Linked DNA regions of Caenorhabditis elegans. The protein of the gene in region 1 interacts with the protein of each later gene in a pairwise test. Each region holds a gene or a part of one and is shown in the gene's direction. Other genes may lie near its edges.

Region 1 (4,895 bases):
ACATAAAAAAAAATTTATCTTAATAATAAAAACCTTAAATTTAGGCTTCACCGTCTGGAAATTCAATTTTTTCAGCTGAAAAACTTTCAAAAAAAAAAAAATTAAATTTTCACATTTATTTTCTCTGGAATTTTGGAGCAATTTCAAAGCTGTCTTAGTGCATTTTTAGTACACAAATATTTTTTCATTTTTCTTAAATTTTAATAATCTAAGCTTAAATAAAGGCTTCACCGTCTGAAAATGCAACTTTTTTCAGATGAAATATTAAAAAAAAAAACCTCTTTTATTAATTTTGTGCTCCAAACTTTCCCACGGTACGCAAATCATGTAATATGTACTTTTAAACATTATTTTTCCAATCAAAAATATCCAACAGCTTTTCCTTACAATTTGAAAATTTTTATTAAAATTTCAAAAAAATTTTTTTTTTTTTTTAATTTCGAATTTTTTTAAACTTGTTGTAACTTTTTTCCCTGTCGGCGCCAATTAACAAAATACGTAGAATTTTGCGCTTATTGTTTTGTTAGTTAACAAATTTTTGACAACTTTCTTATCAGCTGAGATTTAGGTGTTTCAGTTCGCAATCTGCGTCTCTCCTTGCTCTCCTCTATTTTAAAACCCCCATAACTTTGTTCTTGTGAGAGTTATCAAAAAATTGTCAACTAACAAAATATAGAGCACAAAAATATGCACATTTTGTATGTTGACAATTTTTTGATACCTTTTTTAGTTTTCGAGATATCTTAGTTTTAGTTTAGCTGTACCTTTTTCTGGCAAAAAACTTCCAAATTTCGGCAATTTTTCGGCAAATTTCCCGGCAAATTTCGCCAAGTACATCGGGCTCTCAGACAAGTGGTCTGTGAGTGGAAGTCGATAAAAGTAGTTTACGTGCTCTCCGTCCCCCCGCTTCTTCTCCGTCTCTGCTTCTATTTCTCCATTGACTAGTCCCACTACTTTTTACGGGGCGGAGGGCTCTCTTGCACTCCAGCTTCTTCTCTTTTTGTGCTCTTTTTTGCCCGTATGTGGGTGCTCATTTATTTTTCTTTGGTTTTAAAATAAATTCGGTTTATTAGGCTACTCGTAAAAATGAAGAAAAAACTTCAAATTCAAACGACATTAAAAAAAAATTTAATAAAAATTTTTTGAATTGCTCAAAAGCCCCACCTATATATATATATAGCTCCGCCTACTTCTCGCACAGACCCCGCCCACTTTTTGACTCCGCCCCCTTATTGGCAAAAGTTCTTGAAAAAAATAAAAATAAAAATTCAAATTGAAACAATTTTTTTTTAATGAAGTAGTTTTTTTCTAAATTGATGAAAATTTCTAAACAGTTTACAAGCACCGCCCACTTTTTGACTCCGCCCCTTTGTTGGAAAAATTCTTGTAAAAAAAAATAAAAAATAAAAGCTTCTCTTTCAAACGATTTTTAGTTGGTTTTTGTATGAAAAGTTTTTTTCCTAAAATAGAAATGTCTGAATAATTTGCAAGCTCCGCCCTTTTCTTACCCAGACTCCGCCCCTTTATTGACTAATTTTTTTTTGTCCATTTACCTGAAGTTCAAAAAAAAAATTTACAGTTTCATAGAGTAATAATTTTTCAAAAATCTCTTTTTCCAATGTTTAATGTGTCATTATAAACCCGCCCAGTTTTAAGCTCCGCCCATTTAGGCCCCGCCCATTTATGACCCAAATATTTTTTTCTCTATTCACCCGTGGATTTCCCTCCAACAAGTTACCCCAAAAATAAAAATAAAAATTCCTGCAGGCGCCCACCGGGATCTAACATCGTGGCCTCTTCCAACAACAACCATCAATCGTCTACACCATCATTCGGCGGTAGGTTGGACCGTTTTTCTTGTTGTCGACAATTATGCTGTGTCAGGACTAGAAAATCTGAATTCAGCACGCTGAGAGCTTCAAAATAAGCCCCATATTGCCTAGGTTCTAATAAATATGAAAAAATTTGGTCTCGCCACGAAAACTTGTAGGGTTTGGTAGTCTTGGTGAATTTGGGTTAGTCTTATTTTTCCTAGTTTTTTTTGATAATTTTGACACAATCTGAGCTAAAAATTGAGAAAAAATCTTAAAAAATAATAAAAATATGGATTTTCGAAGATTTTCGAAGATTTTCGAAAATCGATAACTTTGCGAATTTTAATTTTTTCTACCTGAATTTAGTTTCGAAAATTTTGTAATTCTTTGAAAAGCTTTAGAAAAATATATTTAACATTCTACACAGTACCCCGGGACTTTTCGTGGCGGGACCCAAATTTTTAAAATAGTCGGGGCCTAGCCAAGATGGGTGTTAAATGAAAGGTCTCGAAGGGCTAAATTCAAATTTTTAGGTTACAAAGCTTTAAATTGAGTTTTTAATTTTTTTTGAAATTAAAAAAAAAAAAAATCCAAAAAAAAAATCCAAAAAAAAATCCAAAAAAAAAATTTCAAAAATTTAAATTATTAATTTCAGGTTCGTGGGGTCCCTACAACAAGGCGGACCACCTAGTCACCAACTGAATGCTGGGCGGTCTGTCGGGACCCGGTCCGCCGCCCCCACCACCCCCCGCATCCTCCTATGGCATGGTGCCAGGCCCGTCGACCTCGTTCACCAACCATCTGGGTCCCACGACGTCATCCGCGTCTACAGTACCACCGACGAGTGACGCGTTGCTCCTGCAACTCCGTTCGAGACCCAATTCTCGCGTTTTTCGCGCCCTTTTTCAATATCTACCGTTAAGGGATTCGCCGAACGAGAATCCACAGCTCGAGCTGAGCCTTCAGCCGGGAGATGTGGTTCTGGTGAAAGGGGAAATGGATTCGGATGGATTTTATTGTGGGGAAACGCTGGATGGACGTCAGGGACTGGTACCATCAAATTATGTAGAGAGGTGAGCATTTTGAAGCTTAAAAATTGAGCTTTTTATACTTTTTTGGGCGAAATCTCACTTTTTCCCGTGAAAAAAGATTTAAAATTCGGAGTCTGAGATTGAAAATACAAAATTCGAATTCTCTGTGTTCAGAGCTTTCAAATGACCCCCATATTGGCTATATTCCGCCAACTTTGAAATTTCCGGGTCCCACCACGGAGGGGTACTGTAGTTTTCGTGGCGGGATCCGAAAATTTTCAAAAATGACGGAACCTAGCCGATATGGGGGTCATTTTAAAGGTCTCAACGAGACGAGTTCATTGGAGCAGGTTTTATGTGAAAATTCGATCATTTTTGAGGAAAAAAAATTTTTTTTGTTCAAAAAAGTTTTTTTTTTTTAATTTTTGTTTTAACCATGTTTTCTGTAAATAATCAGAATGAGCATAATCTCAGCTTCAAAATAGTAATCCGCCATACTTTGAAAATTCGGGTCTCACCACGAAAACTCCACCGGCTACTGTAGTTTAGACGGAAAGTTTGCAGTTTTATATTTCTAATAAATTTTTGAAAACTTTTCATATACCCTGTAAAAAATTTGTGCTGAGTAGCATAAAAATTGACAAAGTTACGGATTTTCGAAAAGATTCAAAAAAATCAAAATTTTTAATTTTGTAAAATATTTAAAAATTCTGTAACACGAAAAAAAGTTTGATTTTTTCTATTTTACCATTATTTTCGAATTTTTCACGCTATTCGCTTTAATTTGACAGCCAACATTCCCAGGCTCCGCCAATTTTGAAAATTTTCGTGGTGGGACTCAACAATTCAAAAAATTTCAATTTTACCAAGAACCTAGGCATGATGGGGGTCAAATGAAAGGTCTCAAAAAACTAAATTTGAATTTTGTATTAGTTTAACTTTTTTGTCAGCATCCTCAGGGTTACGGTAGATTTTGAACTTTCCATTGGAAAATTTTTTCGGAAAAGTTTCGAAAATCCATAACTTTTCTCATTTTTGAGATTTTAACTTGAATTAAAATGTATAACAATTGTGAGTATTTGAAAAATATGGCAAAAATAATATAATTCTGAAAAACTCGAAAACTACAGTTCCCTGGGGCTTTTCGTGGCGGGACCCAAATTTTAAAATTAAAAGGATATAGGCATGTGTTGGGGTCATTTTGAAGCTCCCAACGCGGTGAATTTCTAATAAAACGAAAAAAATTTATATTTTGAATAAGGAAAATGAAAATAATTTTAAGAATAATTTTCAAAAAAAAAAAAAATTTAAAAAACTTTTTTTTCTAAATTTTTTTATTTCTCCAAAATTTAGAAAATAAAACCAAATCTTTTCAGAGTTCCGGATTCAGTGCTCCTGGCAAATGCACGGGCTCCATCACCATCATTCCCGCTTCGAATACCCCAACATTTCTCGACAATCACACACGACTTCTCCTCTCCGGATCACTCAACACTACCCGATTCTGTAAGTTTTTGAGGAATTTTTAAAGAAAATTTGGCTAAAAATTCTTTCAAATTCAGTTTTGAAAAGCAATTTTGAAATAAAAAAAATTTAAAAAATTTTCTGGAATTTTTTTTTTTTTGAAATTTTTTTAAATTAATTTTTTCAAAAATATATAATTTTCAAATTTTTCAGGTTTGCCCTTACCCACCAGCTGACGTCACAAAAGTTACTGTACAAGAGATCAAGAACAACGAAACGCCTAGGAGTGAGTTGAAAATTTTAAAACATTCTCGAAAAAAAATTTTTTTTTTTCGAAATTTTCAAATATCGAGCCGCTACTCAGCCAATTTTCGAGATAAGCTCTTGAAAACTAATAATTCAATTTTTTCTTGCCAGTAGCTTCAATTTAACACCCATATCGGCTAGGCTCCGATGAAAAGCCCAGTTTTCGAAATTTTTTCCGGGTCGCGCCACGAAAACTCTGGGGGTACTGTAGGTGATAGATGTCTTTGACTTTTTGTATTTTTGCAAAGTAACCAAACTTAAAACACATGTTTTAGGCTAA
Region 2 (4,506 bases), 5.4 Mb from region 1:
CGGAGCCCTTTTAGCATTTTTGTCCACTAGTAGGTCCTGGCATGGTGGAAGATATTGCACTGGTGGTCGTGCTTCGAAAAGCGCCAGAAGATTGGGAGGTAGAAATGCCGTCATGTCACCTGAAAATAATTTTTATTTATTATTTGAGTTTTGTAGGTACAAAGATTATCGAATAGAAGAGAGAAAATAGTATGGAATGGGAAGATGAAGAACAAAACAAAAGAAGAAAAAAAGTTGAAAAAATGTCTGAAAAAGAAAATAAAAAAGCGATCCTCGGTTTCAGATAGCTGTTCCACGTTCCAAATCGTCTTTGATATCTTCTGTGTACTTTCCATAGTACTTGTCCAGTTTCTTATTGAATTTCTTGTTTTTCTCATTGATGTAATCAATTGGCGCGTCAGGATCATAAAGTCTACGACGATGATATTGTTCTCGTCTTTTAACTTGGCCGTGAACATCTTTAGTGAGCTTATCCATTGCAGCAGTTGTCGGATAGTGATTTCCTGAAAACTCTTTGGTTTTTCTTTGAAATTATGAGTTTTGCTCCTTACCATGAATAAGTGTGTCAGCAGTTGGGTAAAACTGTTCCCCTCCAACGCATTCTCTCATCTTTTTGTAAGAATCAAGATCTGGATCAAGAGCAGCAGTCAGGCGAGTATGTTGACGAAGAGTCATATCTTCGTAAGAAGTAAATCCTTGATCTGGGTTCTTCTTTCTCTTTCTTTTTTGCTCAAGCTTCTCAGTAACATCTGCAGACATCTCTAAACTGCGAACACGTTCATAGTCCAATCCCTTGTCTTCTGCAGCTTTTCGATCTTGTAGCTCTTTAACCTGCCATTGATCTCTTTCCTTTTTTGCTTCGTGGTTTTTTGGAAGTTTGCTGCGACGATCTTCTTCAACGACCTACAATTTTAAATTATAATTGAAAATGTAAACGTTAAAACACTAACCTGTTCGTGATTCTCTTTTCTCGCTCTTTGGCGGAGTTTGTGAAGATCACGGAACCTCTGATTGAAATCCTTCATTTTTGATCCACTGGACGACGGCCCACTGCTGCTCGATTGTGATTCGGAAGACATCTAGGAAAAAGTGTTGAAGAGAAATCCAGAAAGTTGAGAAGAAAAGCTACATTGAAACGGAATACAGAATATTTTGAACATCAGAAAAAGAAGAACCGATATGATTTGAATTCATTTACAATCTATATTTTTTAAACCGATAGTTACATGTTCAAAACATATTAATACTATCCAGCTTTGCGAAACAAAGAAGGCTTTCTTAGAAATAAGCATGGTACTATCGATAAGGAGTTCAAAAATGGAAATAAAAACTTTATTTTCTAGTTGAAAATGCTGAGAATCGAGTCAAAATTGCGAAAATTAATCTGGGCGAGTAGTTCAACACAGCGCACTTGCACAATTTTCTTTTCTCTCCGCTGCGTAGCGGTCGCGTCGCGGTCGTCTAGTCTTGCGCTCGTCACACCGAACGCGTCAATATGTGACGTTTCGGGCCTTTTCTGCTCACTCTGGCGGTAATTTAAACATATTAAAAATATATTTTAATTCAAAAATATTTATAATAGACCATTTAAAAGTACTCAACATTATTCCAATTGTTCGTTCTTGTTGTTTTGGGCACTTTGAGTTTTTTCTTAAAATTTTAATTTAAATTTCAGCTGATGATGTTAATGAACAGTACTGAGATAGTTGACGACAACATGGTAGTCGAAGGATATGAGGAAATTGCAGTGGATGACGATATGAATGATATGAGAGTGAGTGTGCTTGAATCATTAATTTTCTTTATTCAAATTTAAGGAAATGGTTGCAAATGATGAAGATGACAGTATTCACTATGAAGCCCATGATGGAAGCGAATATGGTGGAATGCCAATTGACCAATATCAAGATATTGTTATGTTCAAAACGTAAAAAAAATTTTTCCTGAGTAATATAAATTTAAAGCATTATTCCAGAACGGACCAAGTTCCTGCAAGTGTCTCCTCTCGTCTTGATCGTAGTGCGCCGAGTCATTGGAGAGCTCGTTGTAAATGTTTTTCAATGGCGGACGATAGGGAAACTCTTTTGTATTACAATCCCGAGAAGTCTGCGAATACTATTCCAAAAGTAGTAGTGAAGAAAGGAGAAGTTCAAAAAGTCCTTGAGAGAATTCACGAACTTATTGGTCATCTTGGGCAGAAAAGAACGTAAGTAAAACTACTATAATAATAGCTGACAATTGTTACTTATAGGCAGATGGTCGTGCTTCGGAAACTCTACTGGCGGTCGGTTCGACAAGATGTTAAAACATTTATTGCCTCTTGTGATTTTTGTACAGCAAAGAAAATACAAGGCAGAAAAATAACAAAAGCACCTGTGGATATTACCTCTGAGCATTTTGATATTTCCGTGCTTGTTAGAGATTCTTCCAGCGGAAATGATCGATTTGAGTTTCAATTGGTGGGATACAATGAGGATGAAGTTCGCGAAGCATCATTTACAAGGATGACATCATATACATTCAAAGAAACTGAGCATGCATTCAGAAGCAGATACAGTAACCATCAGCAGACTGGGGTACGTTAAGAATCTGAGATTCTCTACAACTCTAAGCAAAAATCGTTTTAAATTTACTTTAATTATTGCCAAATTCACAATATTTGCATTTTCAAATTTTTAAAAAATATTTTGCAGCCGCCAACGTTCCGTCGACAACCATATGTGAAGAAACACAAAAATCAATCAGTTGGATATCTTCTTCCATTTCACCAAAGATCTCGTGCCACAGAACCCGAGTTTATCGAAGTTTTTGGGCGCGACATGTTCACTCATCATCCTGATATGATGTATGAAACAGTTCCAGAAATGGACGATGGAATGATGAGATCAAGAGAAGAAGTTAAAAGAAAAGATGAAGAACTGCCCAATGCACATCCAGTAACTGTTGGCGGAGCAGTACTGAACTCGAATAATTTCAAAACGGAAGATGAGGTAAGAAATGAATGAGTCAAGTGTTCTTATTGAATTCCGATCAAAACAAATTATTTTCAGGGAAATCTTGCTGTCTCTTCTCGTTCTCAAGAATCGACGTCTTCAGCATCACCACAAAAAATGAACCATGAACAGCAAAGATATAGTCAAAAACGTCATTTGGAGATGAGAACTGGAAGAACGACGAGAGATATGAGAGATTATGAGTCATCTGGACGACAATTATCACCAACTCCAACGACTACAGCTGGACTTTTGAAAAAGAGAAGGCGAGAGTTGCCAAGTATTCGAGGAATGGCAAATCGTTTCAGTCTGGCAATCGGCGACTCGGATAGAATAGGTAGGTTTTTAAATTTCAGTCTTATTTTGAATGTTGGAAATTTTTAGATAACACCGAAGTAAATCGCTCAAATCCACATCTGATCGAGTACCCTGATCCTTCGTCTATTCTTCGTGGTGATAATGCAGGATTGCCTCCCGTTATTATGGCGCCATCCACCAATGATGAAGTATGCAAACTGCAGATCGAGGTATTTCGCATGAAAACCAAAATTGAAATTATAATAAGACACGTTTCAGGCACTCCAACGTCATATTCATCTACAAAAAATGCAAGAAAAACTACTCCATGAACAGTATGAAGCTTCCATGCGAATTCCAATCACCCGATACATCGAACAAGAAGAGGAAGTTCAGGAAGAACAACTCGAAGTTGAGCATCATCATGTCATGGAAAATCATCACCAAGTGTACGAGGAAGTAGAGGAAGAAGTGGTTCCGCAAAATCCCCGTCGGCACATTCGTCACCAGTAGAAGCTTACATGTTTCTTTATTGTTTGACAATATCTTAATAACTAAACTCACATACGATCTTTTTCCTTAATTATATCTGAAATTTTGTGACAGTTTTGTAATGAATCCTAAAAAGATTAAAACATGAAGTCATCCTTATCACAGAAGTTCAACTCAAAAAAGGATGTTATCTTTCTAAAAGTTTTAAAGGAATTTATTTCATTCATTACTGCTGTGAACAGGATCGTCTCGTTGATATTAGCATTACGTGAACTTTTCCTCAACACATCAATATGAAATCGATGCGTAAAAAATTGAACTTAATGTTTTTTTGAATTATTCCTAACTCGTATCGAGCTAGTCTACACTATTCTCTAACAAAAACTTCTGTTTGGACTTGGCTTTGCTTTATTTTCGTTAAGGATACTCAATTTCGACAACACGAGAGATACAACGGTACTAGTTTGAAAACTTGAAGATTTGTTTCACTTACTGGCAAGGCAAGCTATTATGTATACAAAAGGGTTAGTCTGATTGTTTAAAAAGGTTTTTCTATCAAAGAAAGTGAAAAGAAAAGATTTGAAACAAAAATTCGATAAAACAGATCGAATTATATTGGAGTTACGGTTCACAAACCGTACCCCTGTGCATTTTATCGTGAACGTGTTTACGGACCACTTTTGCCGCCAATAATTTTCAGACACTTTTTTTGCAAAAACAATTC
Region 3 (3,844 bases), on another chromosome or scaffold:
AACTGGAGATTGGCATGCTGATTGGCATTGCTGACATTGTGGAGCAGCTGGTTGCTGACATTGTGGAATACATTGTTGTTGGCACTGTTGAGTCTGTTGGCACGAAGTTTGACATTGTTGGCAAGCTGGTGCAGATGGAAGTGTGCATTGTGGAGCACACTGTTGCTGGCAAACTGGAGCATACTGCTGGCAAGTATTCTGGCACTGCTGGCACTGTGGAGCTGATGGCTGTTGGCATTGAGGAGCACACTGTTGTACGCATTGTGGAGCTGCTTGCTGACAGGTTGTCTGGCATGGTTGAGTACATTCCTGATAGCACTGTTGAACTGGAACTTGTTGTAGAAGACATTGTTGTTGACACTGTTGTTGGCATTGTGGAGCACATTGAGCAGAGATTCCCAAGTTGACATTGATGACTTGTGGAGCAACAGTTGGAGCACATTGTTGAACACATTGCTGCTGACATTGTGGTTGACATTGTTGAATTGGTTGAGCTTGAACACATTGTTGAGTGCACTTTTGTTGGCATTGTGGAACACACTGGACTGTGACTGGAGCTGGAGCAACACAGGATTGTTCACAGGCTGGCATGCAAGATGGTTGACATTGGACTGGAGCTGGAGCAGCTATTTGAGTATAACAGGAAGACGTCTGACAAGTCTGCTGGCATGAAGATTGACACTCATTCATAGATGGAGCAAATTGACATTGGTTCTGGCAAGACTGCTGACAAGCTGGAGCACATTGAGAAGTTTGCACTTGGTAAGTTACTTGCTGAACTGGTTGGGCACATGAGCAGGATGTCTGGACTGGAGCAGTGTTCTGACACGAACAACTGTACTGTTGTGGTTGAGTTGCTTGTTGGCATGAACAACTTGGTTGAACTTGTGAAGCACAACCACATGATTGACGTTTATCACGAATTGATGTTGCCTGGAAAAAACTTCTGTGAACTTGGAAAACAAGCATTTTGTTGCTAACATCGATTACGTCCAACAAATATTTGTAAGATGTGGGCACTTAGAAAACTAGACCGTATTATCAAGAACATTTTGAAAAAACTGTACATGATGAATTTTTCATCAAGTGATGGAAAATTGTTGTAGTTAATATAATATTTTTAATTATTAATAAACCGAAATACTAACTGAAAAAGTTTAGAAATGTCGTGCCATTCTAAAAGTGAAAGTACAATGAAACTTTATCAAACCTCGATAAGCAGACAGCTGGAAGCAAAGAGAGCTACAAATACGATGAAACGCATGATAATGGTTGAAGAAGCAGGGCTTGATGATTTCCACAGATATCAAGGCTTTATATACCCCCTCAAACACTGCTTGCGTACGATTATAGCAATGTAAAAAAATAGTGCCGGAAAAAATAGTCCAAGAGTTCAAGTCTTGTAATTTCGAATGGCTATTGTGAGAGCAAACAAAAAGGTGTTTCTAATAATGAGTGGCGTCAAAAGGCAATAAACAATTTAAAATCGTTTTGTCGAAATCCGAACTCTAAAGTTCAACAGGTAACCCTTTCATTACTTTTCTGAAAATGTAAACGAAATTTTTTGGTACACATAGTTAAGCGGAAACTCGGCGCAATCCAAAAAAAAAACACTGTATCAGTGCAAACGCGCACCCAACCTCTTTTTGATCTTTGCAACTTGCCGTGCCCTCAAGAAATAGTGTGTGTAAGACTGGGAGGCGACGAGCGTGTTTTTTGGTTCATTTGCCATGTTATCATTGTTATGTTTGCGCTGAGCATGAAGCCGGTTGATGGATGGAGTTTGATAAGTGGGACGGAACTGTTTGATGGCTAATGAAACAGGGTTGTAGGACGTTGGTATAAAAGTCGGAAAAATTAAAACAAGGGCATCAATTGTCTCTTAGCAGCTCTTCAATCATATTGACAATGCGTTTTATTACAATTGCAGCAGTTCTTCTTGTTTCTAGCCTTCTTATTGTTGAGGTACGATTTGTATTACTGTTGCTTCACTTACTTTCTGAATTATCTGTAGAATTAGTTAACAATTTATATGTACACCTTGAAACATTATATTATTTCTAGGCATCTTCAATTCGTGATAAACGTCAATCATGTGGTTGTGCTTCACAAGTTCAACCAAGTTGTTCATGCCAACAAGCAACTCAACCACAACAGTACAGTTGTTCGTGTCAGAACACTGCTCCAGTCCAGACATCCTGCTCATGTGCCCAACCAGTTCAGCAAGTAACTTACCAAGTGCAAACTTCTCAATGTGCTCCAGCTTGTCAGCAGTCTTGCCAGAACCAATGTCAATTTGCTCCATCTATGAATGAGTGTCAATCTTCATGCCAGCAGACTTGTCAGACGTCTTCCTGTTATACTCAAATAGCTGCTCCAGCTCCAGTCCAATGTCAACCATCTTGCATGCCAGCCTGTGAACAATCCTGTGTTGCTCCAGCTCCAGTCACAGTCCAGTGTGTTCCACAATGCCAACAAAAGTGCACTCAACAATGTGTTCAAGCTCAACCAATTCAACAATGTCAACCACAATGTCAGCAGCAATGTGTTCAACAATGTGCTCCAACTGTTGCTCCACAAGTCATCAATGTCAACTTGGGAATCTCTGCTCAATGTGCTCCACAATGCCAACAACAGTGTCAACAACAATGTCTTCTACAACAAGTTCCAGTTCAACAGTGCTATCAGGAATGTACTCAACCATGCCAGACAACCTGTCAGCAAGCAGCTCCACAATGCGTACAACAGTGTGCTCCTCAATGCCAACAGCCATCAGCTCCACAGTGCCAGCAGTGCCAGAATACTTGCCAGCAGTATGCTCCAGTTTGCCAGCAACAGTGTGCTCCACAATGCACACTTCCATCTGCACCAGCTTGCCAACAATGTCAAACTTCGTGCCAACAGACTCAACAGTGCCAACAACAATGTATTCCACAATGTCAGCAACCAGCTGCTCCACAATGTCAGCAATGCCAATCAGCATGCCAATCTCCAGTTGTTGCTCCACAAATTGTGACTGTCATCCTAGAACCTTCAGTTTCTCAATCTGCTCAATGTGTTCCACAATGCCAACAATCATGCCAACAACAATGCATTCAACAACAACAACCAATGCAGCAATGTGCTCCAGCATGCACCCAATCATGCTATCAATCGTGCTCTACTGCTCAACTAGTCCAGATGCCATGCCTCACTCAATCAGTCAACTCCTGCTCTTGCCAGCAAAACTATTCTCCGTGTGGAAATGGACAATGTTGCAAGAGAATGTAGTCATCCAATGTATAATTGTGACACCAGTTATGTGTATATACAAGACAATACTTCTTTATACTTTTTTAATAAATAATATTGATAACTTTAAGTTTTTACTCAAATTTAGAAAAAAAAAAAAAACTTTGACCACTGAGCGGATCGAACGCCCAACCTTTCGATCTGGAGTCGAACGCGCTACCATTGCGCCAAGCAGTCACATTTTCCTTTGTCATCTAGTGCAATGACACGAAAGGGGTAGAGAGAAAGGAGAGAATAAGGAGGGGACATATGGCGGTAGAAAAACCGGTGACGGACTACTCTCTTCATCGTTTATCACATATTCTGAGTGTTTGTTTTTTCAAATTTAATGGAGGAAATAGATAGAATAGTGAGGAAATGAGAATGTTATTGATTTTCATGGCGGCATTGGTGTGAAACTTGTTGCTCCTACTGACGCGATTGTGCCAACTCTTGACTGTTTAATCTCTTTGAAACTTCTGAACAGAATCATTCGAATTCCTGGAAGTTTGTGAGGTTTTTCTTGCACGGGTTGTTGCAAGCACCCGACATCTACCGGGTTCTCGATGTGAAC
Region 4 (5,117 bases), on another chromosome or scaffold:
TGAATTTGAATTTGTCAGAGTGAGTAGTGGCCTGAAAAGCCCGAAAAGCCCAGAAAAACTCTAATTTCCCTCTGTTTCAGACGAAAATTGTACATGAACTTTGGTGGTCCGTGGGCCGATTCGCCGATTCGAGCACACGAGCTCGACGTGAAGGTGCCCGAGGAGTACATGACGCATAATCATATTCGAGACAAACTTCCACCGCTGCGATTGAATAAAGTTTCAGAAGACGTGTTATTCTATCTTTTTTACAACTGTCCAAACGAGATTTATCAGGTGGCGGCGGCGTGCGAATTGTAAGTAAAGTTTATTCCAAAAACCTGCATCGACCATGACCGCGAGCGGAGCGTCGTGTTTAAAAAATTTATTTTAGTTTTTTTTTTTCCCCGAGAATTTGTGATTTTCATGAATTTACATATGAAACGCATAAAAAATTGGCCAAAATGATAGAAAATCACTCGTTCTGGGCGAAAAACTTTCAAGAAAATCCGCTTTTTCGTTAAGATCGCATAATTGTTCATCATTTTAGTTGATTCTTATTTCGCCTCATATATAAATTTATGAAAAATCATGTGAATCACGCGTTCTTAGCGAAAAGTTAAAATAAAAATTATTGAGCCGCTCCGTTTGCAGTTACGTCGCGGTCGAAGTTCACGAATCAAATTATTAATAATTTTAAAATTTTAGCTAGAAAATTGAAAAAAACATATATTTTATGTTAGCAATTGAGAAAATCTTTTTTATCACGAAACAATCATTATATTTTCAAATTTTTTGCAGGTACGCTCGCGAATGGCGATTTCACAAAAGCGAACAGGTGTGGTTGACGCGTTCTCAGTACGGTGGAGTGAAAGAACAGACGGGAAATTATGAAAAAGGGCATTACAACGTGTTCGATCAGATGCAATGGCGAAAAATTCCGAAAGAGTTAAAGTTGGAGTACAAAGAGCTCGAGGATCGGCCGAAAATGCCGCAATCAGTTTCCGGACAACCGACACCCTACAAATACTTTTTCCAAGGACCACAATTTCCGAGCGGTCCGGAGACGGGTCTGATGCTTCAGATGCATAACTTGACGCTCGGCACAGGTGGCGGCGGTGGCGGACAAATCACTCCACCGGCACCAGCGGGTCTTAACGGAGTTATGGGTGGTGGTGGTGTTGGAGCAGCTGGAATCGGAGGAATCAATGTGCAACCGGGAGCCGTTCCATCGGCGGCGCGAGCTACTCCAAACTAAACAAGAAGAAGATGATCTCTCGTGTGCAAATTTTCTATATCCCACTTTCGTCATCTTGTTCTCGAATTGCTCCCTTTCTCTCTCATTTTCCATCTCTTTTTCCCCTCTTTCTCTCCACATTTTCTCTCCCAATCTCCCATTTTTTTCCTTCGTTTTCCTTATTTTTCCTCTTTTCTCTACGTTTTCGTATAAACGATTATCGATATACACAAGTTGCTCTTTGAAAACCTGTGATTTTTCAAAGAAAGAGCTTCACAATGACTGGCGGCGGCGGTTTTCTCTGTATTTTCAGTGGCGCAACACCGAACTGATAAGACGGGGAAAAAGGCTGAAAACAAGATGTTTGTCGATGACAAACTCGCCTACAAGGGGGTTCTGATATCGTTCCGTGATAGCAACACAGTTTCATTCGATACTATTATTGTTTGTCATGTCGTCGTTGGCTGAAATCGCGTCGAGACCCGAAAACTTGGAGCTTCTTGCTGAAGGAAAAACCAAGCAAATCTTTGATATTAAAGGAGAAAAGGTTGGTTTTTTTCACTGAAAATTCAAAAAATTTGGGAAAACATTAATTTTCTACTAATTTTTTAATGCTTTATAGATTAAAATTTAGATATTTTAAAAGCGCCTTTTGAAATCGTGATGCAAACGCGCTCCGCGAGTAATCTGACAAGCTCCGCCCCAAAACGTTGGGTCTCGTTGGGAACGTGAATTTTTGACGATCTCACCCAATTTTTTTTGCATTTTTCAACATAAAAATCGTTAAAAACAACGAGAAATGATTGGAAAGTGCTGGAATCGGCAAAAAAGTAGGATTATACGGTTTTACCGCCAATACCTAACGAGACCCGGTTTTCAGTTATCCGTGGCGCGCTTTTGCAGCCCAAGTCACATTTTTATGCGTCTACATAATATTCAGAAAAGCGTGTCCTAGAAACACGAAAACTCGGCCAACCGAATTATCAGAAGAGATTTTTCAGAAGTATGCTCAAAATAATCTTTGAAAGAAATGTTCGGTTTTCACTGTCGGTGAGTGGCCGAGGTTTCACGTTTTCTAGGCCACGCCGCAAATAGCCAGCTTGTGGCCTAGGAAATGAGAAAACTCGGCCACTCTTTCAGCACATTTTTCAAATACACGTACGGAAAATTTCCTGTAAAAACGGTGTCTGAGCTTTCACGGAGCCTAGAAAAAACTCGGTCAATTTCGTAAATTTGAAATCTATTTGAATTTTTCCGTTTGGATTGCGATAATAATGTGCTTTTCAACAAAATTGAATCCAACTTTTTCAATTTCTGAACAAAATCTTTTCAGGATTATGTGCTCATTCGTTCCAAAGATAGCTTGACCGCATTCAACGCTGTCCGTAAAAATGAGCTTGAAGGAAAGTCTAGAATCGCAAGTAAAACCACATCAAACGTGTTTGAATATCTTCAACTTCTCGGTCTACCAACACACTTTGAAAAAAGCATCTCTGAAACTGAATTTGTCGCCCGTAAATGCACCATGATTCCGATTGAATGGGTGGCACGACGTGTTGCGACAGGATCCTTCTTGAAGAGAAATCCTGGAGTTAAAGAGGGTTTCAGATTTAATGATCTGAAATTGGAGACATTTTTCAAAGACGACGCTAATGATGATCCACAATGGACTGATGAACAAATTGTGTCGAATGGTTTGATGATTGATCATTTGAAAATTGGAAGAGAAGAGATTTCATTGATGAAGAAGATGACAAAGTTGGTGTTTAGAGCATTGGAGAAAGGATGGGCTCTTTCAAATAGTGCTCTGATTGATATGAAGGTGAGGGTGTTGCAAAGTTTTTATTATTCTCTTTTTTTTTATCGGTCTCAACTTTAAAAAGTAAACATAATAAAAAGTATGTAAGTTTAATGTTCGGTCTGCAATATATTCGTTTTGTAAATATTTACATTTTGAAAGGAAATCAGCACCATTTAAAACTGGGTGTTTTCTGTAACGTGTCGATTTACGCAGCTTGAGTACTTCACGAGGAGAAGTGTGTTTTTCTTTTCGCTGAATTTTACAATTGTCGGTTGTTGTAATTTTGAAATAATTTTGAAGAAAACCTGAAAATTCCAGATCGAATTCGGAGTCACAGTTGAAGGAGAAATTCTCCTGGCCGACGTGATTGACAATGACTCGTGGAGAGTTTGGCCTGAAAATGATAGACGTCTGCAGTTGGATAAGCAAGTTTACAGGGATATGAAGGAAGTGACAGAAGAGGGGTTGGCTCTCGTTTTGAAGAATTATACAAAGGTTAGTAGGCCGAAGCTTAGGCCTAAGCATATGCCTATGCCTGAGCCTAAACCAAAGACTAAGCCTAATCCTAAGTTTTAGCCTAAGCCCATGTCTAAGCATAAGCCTAAGCCTAAGCCTAAACCTAAATTCAATCATCCTATATATCAATTGTTAGATTTTTACGCGAATCAAACCTTTCGTGTAAGCACAATAACTTGCCTGCCTGCAAGGCGATCTGCACCTGATTTCTGCCAATATGCATACCTACAATTTTCGGTAGACACGTTGAGTAGGTAGGCAGGCACATAGACACGAAGGCGTATCTACCTACCAATAACATTTCCAGGTTATGGATATCACTGCCACCTTCTCAAAACACCAGCAAAAATGCCATGTTCTTGTGATCATGGGATCTGGTTCGGATGGCGTATTCGCACGGAAAATCTCTGATGAAGCCAAGAAATTTGGACTGGAAACTACGCTGAAAGTAAGCTCAGCTCATAAAACTACCTCGGACACTCTGGAAGTTATCGCTGATTTCGAAGAAAGTGGAGTTCCGACAGTTGTGATTGCAGTAGCTGGAAGATCCAATGGACTCGGTCCAGTTATTGCTGGAAACTCGTCTCTTCCGGTAGGACTTGAAAGATCAGATGATCTTTATTTCAAAGAATTCAGGTGATCAACTGCCCGCCACCAAGTGAATCAACGAGTCTTGACATTTGGTCATCACTCCGAATGCCGAATGGAATCGGGTGTACTACAGTGTTGGACCCATCGGAGGCCGCGCTTGCCGCCGCAAAAATCCTCGCGTCTCACAATCATATTGTGTTTGGAAAAGTGCTCACTGCACAGCTCAAGAATCAAATCAACATTTACGTAAGTGATAGAGATGTGAATTTCTAATTTTTGAACTTTCAGAACGCCAATCGCAAACTTGAATAGATGCAGGACTGAATTGAAATCAGATTTTTCAAAAACTTTCTTGTGTAAATTAACTAATTACTCAACGTTCACTTTTATTTCAGCATTCTTATATTAAAAACGAAATGAAATGTTTGAATCTTAAACTTTCAACTGCACATTCCACAGCACGTGCAGAAGAAATCCACGTGTGCCGAGACATCCACGAGAAGATCAGTCTCTTGAGTCAGCTGTCTCCGTTGCTGACGTTGACGATTATGGGTATCGTAGAGTTCTGGACAAGGCATTCCGGCTGACAAAACACCTACGAGAACTTGAACATTTCGAGTGTCCGATGTTCGGACAACTCCCGAGCCACTGTCACCCTGGAATCAGTGGAAACTATTAGGCATCTTGGGCAAGTAGGCATTGTTCTGCCTACTTCTGAAGAAACACTTTTAAACTTTAAAAACAAACATCACAAGACAATCCTCTATTCACTGCCGACGTACAATACACCCCGCCATATGGGAAATCGTCGGAGCACTCCGCAACAAACGAGTATAGCGATTTCAACTTTCCAGACTCCAAAACACTATCCGAAGCTGGAATTAAAAATTTCAAAAGATCACATAAAAATCGGAACTTACGATCTCTTCCATAACCAAAAAGCTTATATCCGGTTTCTCTGATCCTCGGGATCTTTGGAGCAGATGGAAGACA

The links.
Region 2: the proteins of rimb-1 (region 1) and K04G7.1 interact in a two-hybrid assay, tested with the Caenorhabditis elegans proteins (one large-scale study listed by BioGRID).
Region 3: the proteins of rimb-1 (region 1) and pqn-90 interact in a two-hybrid assay, tested with the Caenorhabditis elegans proteins (one large-scale study listed by BioGRID).
Region 4: the proteins of rimb-1 (region 1) and paic-1 interact in a two-hybrid assay, tested with the Caenorhabditis elegans proteins (one large-scale study listed by BioGRID).

The regions. Positions count from the first base shown.
Region 1 is NC_003281.10:1,786,568-1,791,462, forward strand, and holds the start of rimb-1 (Variant SH3 domain protein), read left to right. Parts: upstream 1-1,765; 5' UTR 1,766-1,838; intron 1,839-2,469; 5' UTR 2,470-2,516; coding exon 2,517-2,887; intron 2,888-4,221; coding exon 4,222-4,351; intron 4,352-4,522; coding exon 4,523-4,595; intron 4,596-4,895.
Region 2 is NC_003281.10:7,161,037-7,165,542, forward strand, and holds K04G7.1 (Integrase zinc-binding domain-containing protein), read left to right. Parts: upstream 1-1,675; 5' UTR 1,676-1,717; coding exon 1,718-1,774; intron 1,775-1,817; coding exon 1,818-1,927; intron 1,928-1,975; coding exon 1,976-2,206; intron 2,207-2,251; coding exon 2,252-2,576; intron 2,577-2,693; coding exon 2,694-2,990; intron 2,991-3,050; coding exon 3,051-3,330; intron 3,331-3,377; coding exon 3,378-3,520; intron 3,521-3,569; coding exon 3,570-3,803; 3' UTR 3,804-3,924; downstream 3,925-4,506. Other genes in the region: rnp-7 (U1 small nuclear ribonucleoprotein 70 kDa), read right to left, coding at 1-114; Pre-mRNA-splicing factor syf-2, read right to left, coding at 280-503, 552-903, 951-1,079.
Region 3 is NC_003282.8:15,289,327-15,293,170, reverse strand, and holds pqn-90 (Prion-like-(Q/N-rich)-domain-bearing protein), read left to right. Parts: upstream 1-1,908; coding exon 1,909-1,965; intron 1,966-1,982; exon of another isoform or gene 1,983-2,004; intron 2,005-2,034; exon of another isoform or gene 2,035-2,064; coding exon 2,065-3,270; downstream 3,271-3,844. Other genes in the region: pqn-91 (Prion-like-(Q/N-rich)-domain-bearing protein), read right to left, coding at 1-933, 1,211-1,264.
Region 4 is NC_003280.10:4,369,066-4,374,182, reverse strand, and holds paic-1 (Phosphoribosylaminoimidazole-succinocarboxamide synthase), read left to right. Parts: upstream 1-1,657; 5' UTR 1,658-1,667; coding exon 1,668-1,763; intron 1,764-2,275; exon of another isoform or gene 2,276-2,345; intron 2,346-2,549; coding exon 2,550-3,038; intron 3,039-3,335; coding exon 3,336-3,512; intron 3,513-3,840; coding exon 3,841-4,125; intron 4,126-4,169; coding exon 4,170-4,370; intron 4,371-4,412; coding exon 4,413-4,436; 3' UTR 4,437-4,558; downstream 4,559-5,117. Other genes in the region: ntl-2.1 (NOT2/NOT3/NOT5 C-terminal domain-containing protein), read left to right, coding at 1-19, 81-296, 781-1,237; try-9 (Peptidase S1 domain-containing protein), read right to left, coding at 4,565-4,780, 4,872-4,999, 5,045-5,117.